3 linked regions of the Oryzias latipes genome follow. The protein of the gene in region 2 purifies or fractionates together with the protein of the main gene of each other region. This does not show direct contact. Links are inferred from orthologs where the notes say so. Each region holds a gene or a part of one and is shown on either strand. Other genes may lie near its edges.

What was found. Proteins that work in one complex are often made in the same cells at the same time.
Region 1: the proteins of prmt1 (region 2) and lsm14a purify together in Homo sapiens (affinity purification with mass spectrometry; 3 studies listed by BioGRID and IntAct, with this or other methods). This does not show direct contact. The link is inferred for Oryzias latipes from reciprocal best matches to the Homo sapiens genes PRMT1 and LSM14A.
Region 3: the proteins of prmt1 (region 2) and THO complex subunit 4 purify together in Homo sapiens (affinity purification with mass spectrometry; 3 studies listed by BioGRID and IntAct, with this or other methods). This does not show direct contact. The link is inferred for Oryzias latipes from reciprocal best matches to the Homo sapiens genes PRMT1 and ALYREF.

What each region holds. Positions count from the first base shown.
Region 1 is NC_019861.2:30,567,628-30,572,955, forward strand, and holds the start of lsm14a (protein LSM14 homolog A), read right to left. Parts: upstream 3,230-5,328; 5' UTR 3,021-3,229; coding exon 2,897-3,020; intron 2,368-2,896; coding exon 2,204-2,367; intron 1,204-2,203; coding exon 1,053-1,203; intron 818-1,052; coding exon 623-817; intron 164-622; coding exon 86-163; intron 1-85. Other genes in the region: transcription initiation factor TFIID subunit 4, read left to right, coding at 3,946-5,305. UniProt on the Homo sapiens protein: Essential for formation of P-bodies, cytoplasmic structures that provide storage sites for translationally inactive mRNAs and protect them from degradation. Acts as a repressor of mRNA translation. May play a role in mitotic spindle assembly.
Region 2 is NC_019866.2:24,803,394-24,808,819, forward strand, and holds the start of prmt1 (protein arginine N-methyltransferase 1), read right to left. Parts: upstream 3,821-5,426; 5' UTR 3,725-3,820; coding exon 3,698-3,724; intron 2,800-3,697; coding exon 2,704-2,799; intron 2,628-2,703; coding exon 2,472-2,627; intron 2,396-2,471; coding exon 2,332-2,395; intron 2,263-2,331; coding exon 2,120-2,262; intron 1,045-2,119; coding exon 957-1,044; intron 882-956; coding exon 766-881; intron 694-765; coding exon 543-693; intron 415-542; coding exon 293-414; intron 220-292; coding exon 136-219; 3' UTR 1-135. UniProt on the Homo sapiens protein: Arginine methyltransferase that methylates (mono and asymmetric dimethylation) the guanidino nitrogens of arginyl residues present in proteins such as ESR1, histone H2, H3 and H4, FMR1, ILF3, HNRNPA1, HNRNPD, NFATC2IP, SUPT5H, TAF15, EWS, HABP4, SERBP1, RBM15, FOXO1, CHTOP, MAP3K5/ASK1, MICU1 and NPRL2.
Region 3 is NC_019866.2:15,369,408-15,374,986, reverse strand, and holds THO complex subunit 4, read left to right. Parts: upstream 1-2,350; 5' UTR 2,351-2,497; coding exon 2,498-2,737; intron 2,738-4,087; coding exon 4,088-4,246; intron 4,247-4,331; coding exon 4,332-4,479; intron 4,480-4,573; coding exon 4,574-4,637; intron 4,638-4,728; coding exon 4,729-4,909; intron 4,910-4,992; coding exon 4,993-5,007; 3' UTR 5,008-5,316; downstream 5,317-5,579. Other genes in the region: mcrip1 (mapk-regulated corepressor-interacting protein 1), read left to right, coding at 271-375, 465-529. UniProt on the Homo sapiens protein: Functions as an mRNA export adapter; component of the transcription/export (TREX) complex which is thought to couple mRNA transcription, processing and nuclear export, and specifically associates with spliced mRNA and not with unspliced pre-mRNA.

The DNA of each region.
Region 1 (5,328 bases), on a different chromosome or scaffold from region 2:
ATGAGAGAAATGTATGATTTTCTGACAACCAGCCCAAAATAGTCCACTTACAAAGTATAAAAAATAATTAAGTGTTATTTCTTACCCATTTGGCGCTTGTTGGAATCTCGATTATCACCACCAGCCTGATCGTGATCTAGCTGTGAAGTCTGAACCACAGAAGCTGAACAAAGACAAAGTAGAAGTATTGCGGTTTATATTTTTCATAGTAGTAGGTTTAAAGGTTGTCATCTGGACTTGGTTTTTAAAGTTGAAGACGGTGAAAACGATGGTATTTACCTGGATGAATGAGAGTCTTCATAGGTTTATATTTTTATTATTTCAGGTAACCTTAAAATTTAGTCCATATTTTCATAACATTTTTTAAAGATTTTTTCTTCCCTTTTCCTGTACTCCAGGTTCTGATCCAAAGATCAGTTTTTTTTTAAATCTAAATACAAATCTATTGAGAAGCCCAGCATTTCACATTCCAAAATGGCAGATGCTTCAGCGCTTTTGGGGCAGTTGAAACCCAACAGAACACAATGCTGCCAAAAGTGGTTTTATTGCATCAAAAAGATCCATTTTTAAACCTCTTAAATAGATTTGAGATATTTAAAAGAACCACGGAGGCTACTGTTACCTTTCTTCTGCTCCAGAAGGTCAGGGGGTTTCTGGCTGCCCGTGGAGGTGCTGGTGGGTTTTTGAGCAGTCACTCCTGACTGACTCCTCTGTCCCACAGGAGCTGGCGGAGCGGGGGCAGCTGCAGGTGGAGCTTGCACCGCCTGTTCCCCCGAGGAACTTTTTATCAAAGAGTCCAGTGGAGGGCTTGCACGTCCTGCAATAAAACATTTAAAATGATTTATTTAAAATTCACAATAAATAAAAAAAAAATAAAATATACAGGTTGTTTCTGAATACCATGAATAGAAAAATAAATGTAAGTTGAAATGTAAAGAAACCAATATAATAACAGGTCTTTAACACAGATTATAGATCCCTTCATTTTATACTTACGTATTTAATAAAAAAAAAGAAAACATGAAATTTTGTATTCATGCTTTTTTTCTTACCTCCAGCTCCAAGGGACCCAAACTGTTGGGGTCCAAGGGGAGTAACGCCAAACTGGCTGTATGATGGAACAGGGGCCCTGCTGAATGGTGCATAGGACCCATGAGACTGAAATGAGGATGCTGCTGAGGCATTTGAAGATCCAATTGATGACTAAAAAAAAGAAGAGAGATTCAGTTTTTAAAGACTGCCATGGCATTTTTGGTTGTTTTTGTTCATGATCACAACAAAAATACGAATGACTCGGTTGTTCAGGAAAAGGGGAACTGATGGAGTTCATTACAACAATAAGCTTTGGTCCACAGTAAGACAAAAATCTACCTTGATACAGTTATAGATATTCAGATGGAAATGGTTTTATTTTTTGCCTCAATGTTAAACCACGTAGTTCCTCAACATCTACTACCCTGCCTGTTTTCCACATCTCCCTGCACGTCTTGATGCTGATTACCTGGATCAGGTGTGTTTACTCAATCAGAATGAGGAGTCAGCAGAAAGCGGTACAGATACATCTGTAAAACACACAGGCTGGTAGCTCTGATGTAGGTTCTTTAGTAGAAAATTTGAATCCAACTACCGGTATATTTTAGGCAAATTCAAACAGTGGCTTAAAATGTGCTAAACCAATGAGGCCCCTTTTATCTTAAAAACAAATATCTATTGGGCATAAAAAAAAAAAAATTACACACAACTTGTGCTGTTAATCAGCTCAATATACATCCAAAAAAAATATAATCTACATGAGTTGCTAGTGTGATTCTGAGGGTGTTACTATTGTAACAGATTACACATGAGTCTGGGTAATTCCAAAACTAATCATTTAAAAAAAACATCTTTTCATTTGCTATTTTGGACAGTGTCTTAAGTTTTCAAAGCTGTAACCTGGAAAAAGGTTCAGAGATTTCAAAATTCTAATATTGCTAATATTGGATAGTACCAGAAAAATTATGTGGAATGAAAAGCAGGAAGAGGAACAATAAAGATCTTTTAAAAGTAGATTGCACGATCAGAAAAGAGCTGTGTGTGCTTGTCATTTGAACCTGTACTGCTGTAGATGAAACCCAGCTGTTACTAATTATCTCTAAGGCCCCTTACTACATTGGGCTGTGCGAAAAGAGTTGCAAAGGAGAAGTGTCAAACACAAAAGGCTCACCTGGACTATGGCGGGATCCTGAGGCAGAGAACTAGTGGCTTTGGGTGGTTCACAAACCGTTAGGTCTTTTATATCGCTGCCTCGGAAGATGATGTACTCAAACACTTCCTCCCGGGGTGGAATAGGCCTGTCGGTGGGGCGATCTTCAGTGCCAAAAGACCGAACTGTAAAGAAAATTAGAGACAATTTGAATATAAAACAAGCATCAAAAGATACAAATTTTTACTCCAATAATACGAAATGCATAGGGCATGTAATTATGTACTTTTTTTTGTAAACATGTAAAACAATTTTTTATTGGAGTCTAATTTGATACTCAACATGCTACTAGTAGACTTTTGGAGTTTAAATACAACAGTTAGAAAGTGCGAGTTTAATGTCACTGATAACTTTAATTTTATTAAAATTGTTAGTTTTATACAACCAAAAAATAAAACTATTTGAATTTAATTAAACTAATGGTTAAAACAAAACCACGTTAACTTTTCATACAAGTCATTTGTGCTCAAAAAAAAGAAAAACTACGTAAACAAAGGACGCTGAGTGTGCACCACAACACAGCTAAGCTAGCAGATGCTAGCTTTAAGCTAGCAAACTGCGGGAAAATTGTTTACATAATGGTTTCCTATACCATATACCACGTTTTTGGTCATTTTGGAAAGCTAAAATCTATTCGTGTGTGATTATGCTTACCTTTAGCGAGAGCTACTGTCGAGTTTTCAGTGTCGATGGTGTACAAAATTCCTTCATATCGGATCTCGGCCTTTGAGATTAGGCTAATTTTGCTGCCTATGTACGGCGTCCCTCCTCCGCTCATGTTTGCCTTGCTGATTTAAATACGCCACTAACCTTTGAAGAATGCCCTTTAAGTCAACCTAGAACAAATATATTCAACTTTCCGATGCGCAACTTCAAACCTACATACCACAAATACAAAAGGTAACCCTGAAGCACATTAACCCGCTCCGTGATCCCTCTCACGACATGGCCGTTTTCATTTTCCTTCCCCTGGCGCTAAGCATGCTGGGAGAAAGGCCGTAGTTCACAAAACTACATTTCTGCTCCGACACGCATCTTGAACAAGAACAACCAATAATTTTCGCTAAAATGCTCTTTTAAAAAATGAATTGTTTTGATTGTGAAGTTAAATATTAGTAATTAATAATATATATTTTTTGTAAAATGAATTTCTGGAACTATTTTAAATAGCAAAAACCACTTCCGTGAAGAATTTAGCAGCATCTTGTGGATGTATTATTTATTTATTATGTTGTAATAAACTCCATTAGTCATTTTTTATGTTGTTATTTAATATCAAATCTTTAGAGAACAAGGTTTTTGTCTGGTGTTTTAAAGTTCTGTACACCATTTTGCAACTACAGCAGCATAAAACACGGGTCAATATGTGTTTTTGAAACCTATTTTTAAAACATCGTAAAAAAAGTTTTAAATACATTGACAATGATAAGGGTAAAAAAGGGAAATAAACAAAAAATATGCAAGTATGTATGATAGTAGATATAAGGCGTGGATAAATACATAAGTACATAAATGAATACGTAATTAAAAATGAAAAAAATAAGTAACGAATAAAAAAAGAGAAGAATAAATGAATAAAAACGTCTTTAATTCACAGAACCAAAACAGGGAGCTCAATTAATGACGTCAGGTCCATTCCCACAATGCCTAGTAACACGCAAGCGCACTGTAAAAAAACAGAAGACGACTATCAATGATCAGAGATGGCGGGCGCCTCCGACCCCTTGGAAGATATGCTTTATTCAGAGGTGGATGAAAAAGCCGTTAGCGACCTGGTGGGTTCATTGGAGTCAGAGCTTACTGGACAAAGCACCCCGGTGGGCAAAACAGACGAAAACGGAGGCGCTGGCTCTGTGCCCCCTGCTAATCACCACTTAGGAAAAACGCTACAACCTCCAGTGAGCATCACAACACTAGAACAACAACAACAAGGACGCCGTTTAAAACCCGAAATGCGCCAGGAGATCAACTCTAAAGACGTTAGCCAGGATAAAACTGACACATCTCCTTCGCTGGGCTGTGCTCCGTCCTTCGGCGAGCCCTCCGCCACCTCGCCCGCCTGTGTGAGCGCCAGCAGCAACGGTTCGCAATCACATGGAGCATCCATCACAACACTGACCGCGTCCAGTGTGTCAACTCCTCAAGACAGCATCAGCACCGCATCCAACCGAAGCACTAAGGCGCCCGCGGGCACCGGTGAGACGGAGGCAGCAGAGCCGCCGAGGAGGCGCATCGCGGCGCCGAGGAGAACCGCCTCGGCGCGGATCAAGAGTTTGAACGGTGCAGCCGTGACGACGAGGAGGAGCAGCAGCAACAACACGGCGGCCGAGGAGAGCGTCAGCTCCGCGGACAGCAGCGCGACCACCCCCAACTCCACCCGACCGGCACCGTCCTCCATTAACGCCTCGACTTTCACTGTGTCGAACGCCAGCCTGCCCGTGGGTCAGTCTGCCATCGCTCTGGACCGGGGGACCCCCACCATCGCTCTGCAGAGACTCCCCAGCCACATAGTGGCCAGCATTGCCCAGAACGGCAACGGCACCAGTGTTTCGGCCCTGGTGCAGCAAAGTACTCGACCAGGAGGAGCTGTCAATCCTGCAACTTCCCAGGAAGATCCTGGTAAAACGGACCCCGGAGCTTCCACAGCAGACAAGCCCTGCGTTGACATGCCAGGCCACTCTGGAACAAACACTGTAGCCTCTGCTCCGTCTGCTGTCACACCAGCAACAAGCACAACAGCAGCTGCAACTACTACTACTACCACCCAGCCTCTGAGCACTACTACTACTACTACTACTACTACTACTCCAGCTGCAGCCTGTGCAGCAGCAATGACAGCTACCCCTGCATGTGGGACAGTCCAGACCACATCAGTGACGGCCACGATCAGTATGGTCAGGCCTACAGCCTCCTCTCCCAGTCCCGCCGTGGCCACATCTGCACAGACTCAACCCCGTCCTGGACTTGCAACGCCTCAAAGGATTGTGGCTCCACAGCTGATTGTCAGACCCCCCCAGCAGCAGACAACCATTCAGCTGCCCCCTGGATTTACCATCCCACCAGGTACGGTTTTCAAGACTGAGAAG
Region 2 (5,426 bases):
GTGAAATGCTTTAAATACTGTTAACGTCGGAATAAGAAAACGAGGAAAAAAGTCTGAAACGTTGCTGCGAGGAGCCGTGACCTAACAGAGGCCCCCACTTTCACATCATGATCTGTCCATAATGAAGACAAACACCTAACGCATCCGGTACTCCAGGGACTTGGTCATCGTGCACAGCTGACCCGTGAAGTCCACGTCCACGGTGAAGTCCAGGTCTCTCTGCAAAGCGACAGGAAGAGGTCACACAGAGAACACGGAGACGAGTGGCGGTCAGTCTGTCCGCGCCGCTTACGTTGTTTTTGACGTTTGGCTTCATGCTGATGGTGCCGAAGATCTCCTCTCCGCTCTTCACCGTCAGGTAGTCCTCCAGGTAGAAGACCGTCTGCTTCCAGTGAGTGTAGGGGGACTCTGGACCTGGAGGGACGGACAGGGAGGTGAGACCAGAACACCGCTGTTCATCAGGACCGCCGCCCTGCTGCCTTCAAACTGAAAAGCTCTGCTTGAGTGAGTCAGAAGGCGTGGCGGAGGCGTGGCACACTGACTGGTGGAGAAGCCGATCCTCTTGTGGCAGCGAGTGAACTCGATGTTGAAGTAAGTGACCAGCGCGTGGATGTAGTCGTTCCTCTTCACCTGCAGGCAGAAGGGCGAGGTGAAGGTCAGGTCCTCGGCCTTCACCGTGTAGATGTCCACCTCCTGAAAGGGCAAACGGAGCGTTAGCGGAGCGTGCAGACGTGTGACGGAAGAAGCCCCGCCCACAGGACTCACCCGGATCAGGCAGGAGTTGCTGACCAGCTGTTTGGGATCCACCACGTCTACCAGCGGTTCCTTAATGGCCACCTCCTTGATACAGGACATGTCGAAGCCGTACACGTTCTCCCACCCTGAAACAGACCGCGCAAACGTGACTCCCCCACCGAGACGGAGCCAGCCCCGCCCCGGTCATGTGACCTACTCACAGTGGATTTTGTAGTCCTTGTACTGCCGGTCTTCAATGGCCGTGACGTATAGAGTAGCTCTGTCAGGGAAAATGAGTCCGTCCGGCTTCTGTGAGGGAGGGGGACATGAGTGTTAGGAACACACTCAGGGGTTACATTTAAACATCTTCAATGAACCGATCATGACTGTGTTCACAGCAGAAGCTCCTTTCTAGAGCCACCAGGAGGATCTTTGAGGGATTCCCAGAATTCCAGCCGCCAACCTTTGCCGTCAGCTCAGCTTTGGTAGAAACTTTTATCATTGAAATGTCGTACTTTTGTTAAGACCATTGACTGTTTCAGAGAACTGGACTGAGTAACCCCTCCCTTCTGGCATTCCAAACAGGAAGTGACTCCAAGAAGCCAATGTCCCATAGACGTCTATAGAGAAACAGACAGCTGTTCGTCCTGTGTTCTATTGGTCAGAAGAACCGTTCTGGATCTGATGCCTTTTCCTAACAATCTATTGATAATTTAAATATTTTTTCTGTAGTTCAAACAATAAACTGACCAATCAGAAGCCTCAAAAGTAGGTTGTGTTAGAAACGTTTGACAGATTTTCGTGTAGCCCACTTTAAGTGGTAGGGGTGTGGCCTTCCAACATGCTCTCTTCTGATTGGTTGTCATAGAAACAACTTAGACCAATCATTGCTCACTGACATTGTCTGGCTTCAACATGGCAGCGTAAAAAATTTAATTTTGAACTTTTCTATCGTTTGACGTAATTCTAGGCCTGCACAAAAAAAAAAATCAAAAAACAATCAACATGGCCATATCAACTTGAGCAATCCCGCATTGCAAAGAGGGCGTAAACGTTGACACATATGCACAGTCAGACAAATGTTTAAAACACACCCAACCACAAATTATCTAGTCTGTTCTTGACCGGGTAGATGGGGGCATTTACCCGCTTACCCATCTCCTATTGACAGAACTGGCAGTACAGTTTGTTGACTTATTTTAAAAAATCTCATTATTATATCAATTATATTGTTGTTGTTGTTTGTCTGTTGCAATATTGGTGGCTAATTTTCTTCATGCCATGCAGCTCCATGTCCCGCTCCCTCAGTCCAGGTCTCACATACAGTCAGTGGTTACAGTTACTAGTTTGGAGGAAGCGCTGACGTCCAGAAGGAGACACCCACCAGCCACTTGTCGCGGGCGTAGATGACTGTGTTGAGCATGGACTCGTAGAACAGACAGTAGCCCATCCACTCCGATATGATGATGTCGACCTTGTCCACCGGCAGCTCCACCTCCTCCACCTTCCCCTTGATGATGGTCACAACTAGAGACAGAAGAGGTCAGGACCTTCCCTCCACATTCAGCGGTCAACACCGGACGGCGGTGGACTCACCGTCATCCATGTTGTTGGCCTTCACTATTTTGACGGCGTAGTCAGAAATGCTGCTGCATTCTATCTGTAACGGCAGAAGCACACGGATGAGACAAGGCGCCGCAACCGGGCGCCGCCAAGCCGAGTCCACGCCTTCCTACCCCGATGACTTTCTTGGCTCCGGCTTTAGCCGCGAACATGCAGAGGATGCCCGTCCCGCTGCCCACATCCAGCACCACCTTGTCCTTGAACAGGTGCTTGTTGTAGAACATGGAGTTGCGGTAGGTCAGGGTCCGGACCTCGTCCTTCAGCATCTCCTGCAGGAACAGAGCAGAGGGCGATTGAGGACGCGGGCACCGGGGGCCGCAGGTTTAACGGGACACGAAGGCGTACCTCGTGGATCCCAAAGTGGGCGTAGGAGTCGAAGTAGTAGTCCTTGGATGTCATGTCTTCAGCTGCAGGCTTGGCTGAGCTCTCTCCCTGAGAAACCTCAAAGGAGGAAAAACCCCATGAATGTCTGCAGATCAAAGGAGTCACGTGATCTGGAACCGCCGAGGAGCCGGTCCGGTTCCAGGCAACACAGAAGACAGAGAAACAACCGATCCGTTAACGCTGCCTCAGAGGAACAAAGGACGTGGACCCGATGCCCCATGAGACCACCGGAAGTTAGAGTTATCCTACCCCCCACCCCCACCCGGTAACGTCGGTTCGGTCGTAACAAAGCCACACGTGACGACCAACTTCCAGAACAAGGTTCTGTTGTTGGACCAGCTCAGAGACCGGGACACTCAAGAGGACGGCAGAACCGGTACCGAAGATTCTAGTCTAGTCCGGGATGAAACAGTGGGACTACCCGCTCGCCGGTTTTCCACTCCAGGCTCGACAGAAAAGCTAGTTCAGGTTTCCGGTAAACCGGCACCGCGCGGGTGGAGTGACCCACGTGGAGCTCCGTAGTGGATCACGTTGATCGAGAGTTTTAACGTAAACTCTGGCAGACTAACGTCCGGCGGATCCGAGCTCAGCATCAGCGTGTTAGCACGAGCTGCTAATTAGCCCGGCAGCTAGCACGTTAGTCTCCATGCGGTCCGAAGGCTCTGCCGGTTCCACCGCCAGCTGCGTGCCTGCCGCCCCCCCACCGTCGCTTCAGCGTCGAACCGAAAATACACACCAGACCCCACCGTAAACAAAAGCCAGTTTGAAGAGTTTAACCGTTTCCCCTGTTTTTCTCGTAAATGCGACACTGTGATGAATGAGCGGCGGCAGCATCCGGAAACTCCAGCGCTAACACCCCCTCTACACCGGCGAAGCGCCGCTCCGGAGCCTGCGGGAAAACTCGCGGACGTTTCCTCGAACACAAATGAGCGTTTTTCCCGCTCAAAGACCTCACCTCCATCCTCTCTGCTGGCGCCGCCATTTCGATCTACAGCGAAGAGTCCGTTTCTTCTTCTACTCCGTCCTTCCTTCTCTTCCTCCGTACATTTAATCTGAATCTGCGTTGAAGGCCTACACCGCCACCTACTGTACAGACGGTGGAAATACCGCTTTACCCGTGAGACATTTTTTCTGCATTTTGCCCCTTTTACCACCATCTGGGGCAGGAATCACTAACCTTCCTGAGGGTGAGGGCTATTTTATGGGCTCCACAGGACCTGTTCACTATACATTTACCAACGTTTTCCCAAAATAAACTATAAAAAAATGCTACAAACACTTTAAAAAGACAATTTATGAATCCACTGGGTAATGATAATGAAACTGCTGGTTTATAAAAAAAATGAAATAAAAATATTTTAACAAAATGTGTTAAAATATTAAAAACTGTTAAATAAAGTCTATCTATCTATCTATCTATCTATCTATCTATCTATCTATCTATCTATCTATCTATCTGTCTGTCTGTCTGTCTGTCTGTCTGTCTGTCTGTCTGTCTGTCTGTCTGTCTGTCTGTCTGTCTCTCTGTCTGTCTGTCTGTCTGTCTGTCTGTCTGTCTATCTATCTTTCTTTCTATCTTTCTATCTATCTATCCATGCTCACTGGTTTTTCGTAGAGACTTCTGGGATATTTCTAGGGCCCTGGATTTTGAAATGTAGATTTGTAGACGCACTATATAGTGAAGGGATTTGGACTCAACGATTTTCTCACTTTCACACAATTTGGCAAAAGAAAACTTTTGTTTAAGCAATTACAGTTTTTTTCAGTCGCTTTAGTACAATTGTCAGATCAGAATGAAATTCCCAAAACTATTTGTTCAATCTTCACATCATGATGTCACTTGTGCACATCATATAAGCAGTTTCTCACTTCTTTGAACAAGTTGCAATTGCTTTGGTACATCCATGCAAATGATTATGTACAATTCTCTGCTCTTTGCTACATTATCAATTGTTTATGTCATGTTGATCAAAATGTATTATATAGTTCACTGTGCAATAGTCTTACTCCTCAAAACTCCTAGTCATTAGTTCATCGTATAAGTCATTAACTGCAAAATGGTTGACCAAGTTGTCATAATGTGACAATCATATTTCGCTGCATTGCAAGAGAGGATATTCGCTGTGATGTGGATGAGAATTTGTGGCCTAACATACAGGAACGACAAGAGGTGTAGGAAGACCACACCAATTCCTACTGCACTGCCTGGACTGTTGGACAGAATATTGTCCTATCTTTTTTCCCCTTTGTGTTACTGTTTGCAGTGGGTTTTTTCTATGTTGGTATGACATGGTCTGTCTACAAATTACAATATGAACAATAAAAGTGTAAATGTGAATCTTGTCCAGTCTCTTGCAATCAAAAAAAAAAGGTGTAACTTCCATTTTACAATAATTGTCATCCAAACTTTAGCCATAGTTTCCATCAGAACCTCCCTTTAAAGTACACAGTTATATTGACAACATGACTAAGTCATTTGACTGTCTTGTTCGTAGACAATGACACAAGGACTTGACATTCTGATGGCACTGACATGTTCAATGACATAAAGACTTAGTTTGGAGAGATGAACTAAAGATTTTGAGCAAGTTACAGGCTTTTGCAAGAAATCCATAGTGTTTTGCTGTTTGTACAAATAGTTTTGAGAAATGCACACACGTATTTGCAAACTTCAATTCTGATCT
Region 3 (5,579 bases), about 9.4 Mb from region 2:
GAAACTAAAGGCTGCTCACACAGTAGTGTGAATATTTTGTCACCCAATACTCCATAAAATATTCTTGAATGTAACTTAAATAGGTGTGTGTTATGGAGTTAATAAACAGCTTTAGAATTTGTTCCCATCTACTACCCACAGGACTGAATTGTTACTAAAATACATCTGACATCCATTGAATGAAACATCTATGGTGGGATTTGACCTTTTAACTGTTGGTGAACAGCACCTCAACCACTTGCCGTCCTTCTCACCTTTATTCCTTCTCAGCCTGGCAGTGTGTGCTCAGAGACATCCGATCAACGCAAAACAGTGAGCGTAACGACCGCGGGCCGCAGGAGTATGTGGAGAAGAACCCTAACCCTAATCTACATTGTAAGTTACAGAGACATTAAGCCAAGAGATCTTTATGTTGATTTAGGACATTTTTTAAATGACACTTGTGTTTCTGTTTGGTTTTGCAGCATTTACACCAGTGGACCTGAGTGATCTTAAAAAGCGCAACACACAGGACTCTAAGAAATCTTAGTCTTTTCTATGATGATCCACTTGCTTTTTTTTTTTCTCCACCCATTATTGTAAAGAACTTTTGATTTATCAGCCCGCTGTCAGCAAGAACGTTTGACCCATTGGCCAATCTAACCCAGAATGCAAATCGAATCTCTACTCTGGACTAAAGCAACCTCTGCCCCCCCCCCCTTTTTTTTTTTAAATCCTCAACAAGAACCAAAAGGATTTGGATTTCAGGGAGTTCAGATTCTTCCCACTTTCTCTGCATTTTTAGTTCACAGTTTTCATCAAAAGTTTCAATGAAGGTTTTGTGGTTAAGGCACAAAAAACGAGGACACAAGACTTAAACCCTCTACTACCAAATGTACCCTGATGACTTTGAAAGAAAATATGAAAGGGCTGACTTCTGTTTTTATTTTTTGGAAAACCAATTGATAAACAGTAGAATGATCTCAATGGATATCCTCTTAGTGGGCTTGTTTTGGAAACCAAAATACAATGTGGAAGGCCAACATTTTTTTTATTATTATTATTATTATTATACATTTTTCTTGCCCTGGGATGGACATTGTTGAGTAGTGAATGCAGGAATGCAGCTCTTATCTCCTTCCTCTAAGCCTTGGAAGCAAAATGTTGAATAAAAGACTTTTACAGAACTTCTGCTTGGTTTGACACTCATGTATGTTTGTTATAATACAATGAACAGTAATCAGTGTTAGGCTGTTTTTTTCCTCGGAACAAACGTTAGCTAAAAGTATGGAAAACGATCATAAATAAGAGGTTAAAAACTCCCCAGTATATCCCCCACCCCACTAAAATTCAGCTATTTTTAAATATACATAACTGTATTTGTAGTTTAGCTTTACAGATTGATTATATCTTTGATTTTCACTTTTTTTACACCCACAATTATTAGGAAAGTAATTCTTTTGCTTTTTTTATTAATAACAGCAATACCAGTTTTTTGTTATTTCTTTATAATAACGTGCAATTAACAGAGGTAGAGTTTACAGACAAACAGAGCCATGTAGCTCAGAAACAATCAATGTAGGAAAGGTTTCAATAAAAGAACAAGAGGGAAACTTTCTTTTTTGTTTGTTTTCTAATTAGGTGAAGAAGTTGTTGGTCTTAAAAATACTACTACCTTCAAATCAAAACAATAGAGTTGCATTTATATTTGTTATTTACATATTTCAAATGAATGTGAAGGAAGAATACAATCATGCATTCTCGTGCAGGGTGCTTTTTTAATCCTTATTGTAGTATGAAGAAGAGCAAAATTTTGAATAATACTTTGAATTGCTATCTTTTTATGCAAAATTAATCTTTTGAGATCAAATTAATTTCAACTTCTTAGCAGATTTGCTGACGTGTCTCATCAAAAAGAGATCCAATTTGTATTTATAATATGCATATTGAGAGTTCAGGGTGTTGTCCAATTTAAGCATTCATTATAATAACGTTTCTTGATCAAACTAAGAAAGTTTTCTTTAGGTCATAGTCACATCTAAATAAAAAATCAATTCAATACAAATTTCATTTGAAATATGAAACCACATTTTTGTTTGTTTAAAGAAGTGCCTTAGCCTATTTGTTTTCAATGTAATTTAAAGTCTAAAAGTATTTTTTTTTATGTTATTCAGTTTCGTTATAGAGATATAGTTAAAAGTGTTTGATTTAATGCTTTGATTGCTTCTTTTAGTGTTACTATGAACTGAACACACCCATGTATGGCGTTTTTTAGGAATAATGTTTTAGTTTCCAGTAGAGGGCGGTAAAGAGTTGTTGTAGTTTTTAACGTAATGACGTCAAGAGTACGTGTTCTCCAACCAATCAGCTTTTCTACAGCTTGTGGGCGCTTTTCATTGTGCTTAGTACTTGGACCAGAGAGCGTAAATCTACGGACGAAGAGAGGGAACAGCTTAGTCCAGGGTGTTTTAAGACAATTTAAATCTTTACAGTGCTTTAGAGTTATCGGGGCAGCATAATGGCGGATAAGATGGATATGTCTCTAGACGACATTATCAAGCTGAACAGGCAGAGTAGAGGCGGAGCCCGTGGGGGAAGAGGCCGAGGCCGCGGAGGCTCAGGCGGTGCCCGTGGAGGAGGCCTTGGGCGTCTTGGTGGTGGCGGCGGCGGATTTGGAGGCCGAGGCGGAGGATCAGGCCCCATGAGGACCCGACAGAACCTGAGCCGCGCTAGAGGCAGACCAACGCCTTATAGCAGGGTATGAGAAAGTTAGACGAATGGGCATTGGAAGGAAAAAAACCTTCGTCAAAGCTGAAAATTCCTGGTTTACGTCTTCTTTTCTCCATTTGGCTTGACGGCTAATCACCTAGCTAGTCAAGCCATTAAAATGGTTGCTTACCGCTGAGTTTCCCTTAGAGGAGAGCTCTATAGTTTGTGGATAAGCATAAATGGAGGTTGTTTGCATAATATGTCCCTTCTCCCACAACCTATATGTGTCGCACCACTTTTCAAGAAGAAGCTGCTTGAGGAGCGACTATGTTAGCCACATTGGCTAACCTGCCGGATCGTGAAGGTCTCAGCGCCATTTTGAATCCAACAACCTCGAATACAATTTGGCGTCAAAATGATGTTTTACCCCAAGTGTCGTAATGGTCTGGAAAGAAAAGGATGCCTACATCGCTGAGAAGGTTCCTGCACGTTTTTTCCATTGCTACGGAATCACATTCCTTCCAACGTCCTGCTACATCTTCAAGGCGGCCTTTTGTCCCAGGAATGGCTGACGGGGTTTCTTAAAATCCCACCCAAAAGGCTTTTCACCAAATGTCACATATGGATGGATACGTGGACTCATACTTAATCCCCTCAAATTTCCTTTATTTTTTTTTTTTTTTTTGTAAAAAGAAGCCCAATCTTCACTCCTGGGGTGTGAATGAATATAAATGCAACCCAAACAAAGCCCCGATCAAAATGGCGTGGTTTCAAAATGGACGTCCGCGTACTCCACGCACTAAAAAGGGGGCTATCGGCTTCTTTCCCCCCAAAATGTTCTTCACCTGTAACATCCTAAAGACATTTCTTCATGAAAGTCGAATTGTGGCCTGACAAAGGACTGTTGTGAGCCTGGACAAGCGGCGCAACGCGGGATGCGAGGCTGCTTCTGCCGGGGACCCCCCCTCGTGTGCCTGAGGAGCATGTCGACAGACAGAGCAGTTGGTGGAGTAGCAGATGGCAAGAAACGACGGGGTTATGCTAGCTAGTTTGGGGCGGATTTTTGGTTCATGTAAAGATTTTTTAAAGTTAATGTATGAAAATGATTAGTTTAAATATCTGTCAGCTTTTTGTCTTACTTTACAAGTAGTAAAACATTGAAATTTTCTGTATCAAAACACCAAAATAGCTATTTTTAAATTTGTGTATTTCTGTCTGAAGTGATTCACGTGATTGTAACGATGGGGTGGGCAGGGATCATGGGGGGGTCTGCTGAGCACCCTGGCCGTGTTGGAAGTGGAGCACCTGCTTGCACCAACACCCAGCCGTGTGGACTCTGTGAAAGACAGAGGCAGGGGATCCTGAAGTCAGCAGGTGCGTTCTCTTTCGTCTGTTGCAGCCCAAACAGCTTCCCGATAAATGGCAGCACGACATGTTTGACAACGGCTTCAGCGGCTTCAATGGGGCTGCTGGAGGTGGCGGAGGAGCTGGTGTGGAAACGGGAGGAAAGCTCCTCGTCTCCAATCTGGACTTTGGGGTGTCAGACGCAGACATCCAGGTACAACTTAGCTAGCATATCTGATGGTGATGTTTTTTTTTTTTAATTGATGACTTAGTTTTGACTTTTTTTTTTTTTATCGAAGGAACTCTTTGCTGAATTTGGGACTCTAAAGAAAGCTGCAGTTCATTACGACAGATCAGGAAGAAGCCTTGGAACGGCAGATGTCCACTTTGAAAGGAGGGCAGATGCCCTGAAAGCCATGAAACAGTACAATGGCATTCCTCTTGATGGTATTCTTCTACTTTATTACAGATTTATTTAATTAGATAAATACATTTAAATATTAGTTGATCTTCCCAAGATTAAAGCCTAATTTGTGTTTAGGGCGGCCTATGAACATTCAGCTCGTCACATCACAGATCGACACACAGAGGCGGCCTATGCAGGGGTAAGTAAGCATGGATTCTTGGGAAACTGGAAACAGGCTGTTGTGTAAACCCCAATTACATTTTCTTTGTGTATTTGTTTTGTTTTACCAGTATGAACAGAGGTGGTGGAGGCATGAGTAGAAATCGGGGTTTCGGAGGGATGCAAAGAGGCCGAGGGGTCCGTGGTGCAGGTGGTCCCAGAGGAAGAGGGCGGGGGGGGCGCGGCGGTGCCCCCAAGCAACCGCTATCGGCAGAAGAGCTTGACGCCCAGTTAGATGCTTACAATGCCAGGGTACATCTGTCAAAATAGAAAGCATCTTCTGTTGAAGTTGTTTTGCAGCTGTCCTAATTCTGTTTCACCTCTTGTTTTCTCAGATGGATACCAGTTAAGGAAACCTCCCATCCTAGTTGACGTCATCCCTCCCTGTCTGCACAGAAAGGGGTGCTTGTTACAGATGTGCAGAATATTTTACACTTGTCTTCTGATGTGATTGAAATTGTTCCAACCTCTTCTTTTAAATACTCCAAAGTGTTTTTTACCAAGTGTTTTATTTTTGTTTTAATTTTTTTTTTTTTTTTGATCGAATGGTTTTACTGTAGGTTAACTGCTGGGTGGAGTTTTCTCAGTTTCTCCCAACCCTGTAGTGAATGGAACTTGTAATAAAAACCTGCAGTATATATTAAATAAGCAATGGGTCATTGTTGTTTTGCTTTATTTTTTACTAAAACCAGTCTAAGGTGGAAATATGCTGGTTGTATTTACATGAAAGCTTTTACTACTTTTTAAAATGCATAGGCTAATAAAATTATTAAATGTTTGTAAATTACATTGTCCAATTGTATTTCAAGCAGTTAAAGATCAAATTCATATCTGCTATGACCTGCTTTACCCTGGGGGTTAAATACTTTTCAATGCATTCTATATTTTCAAGAGTTCAGCCACTAGATGTCGCCCTTGTTCA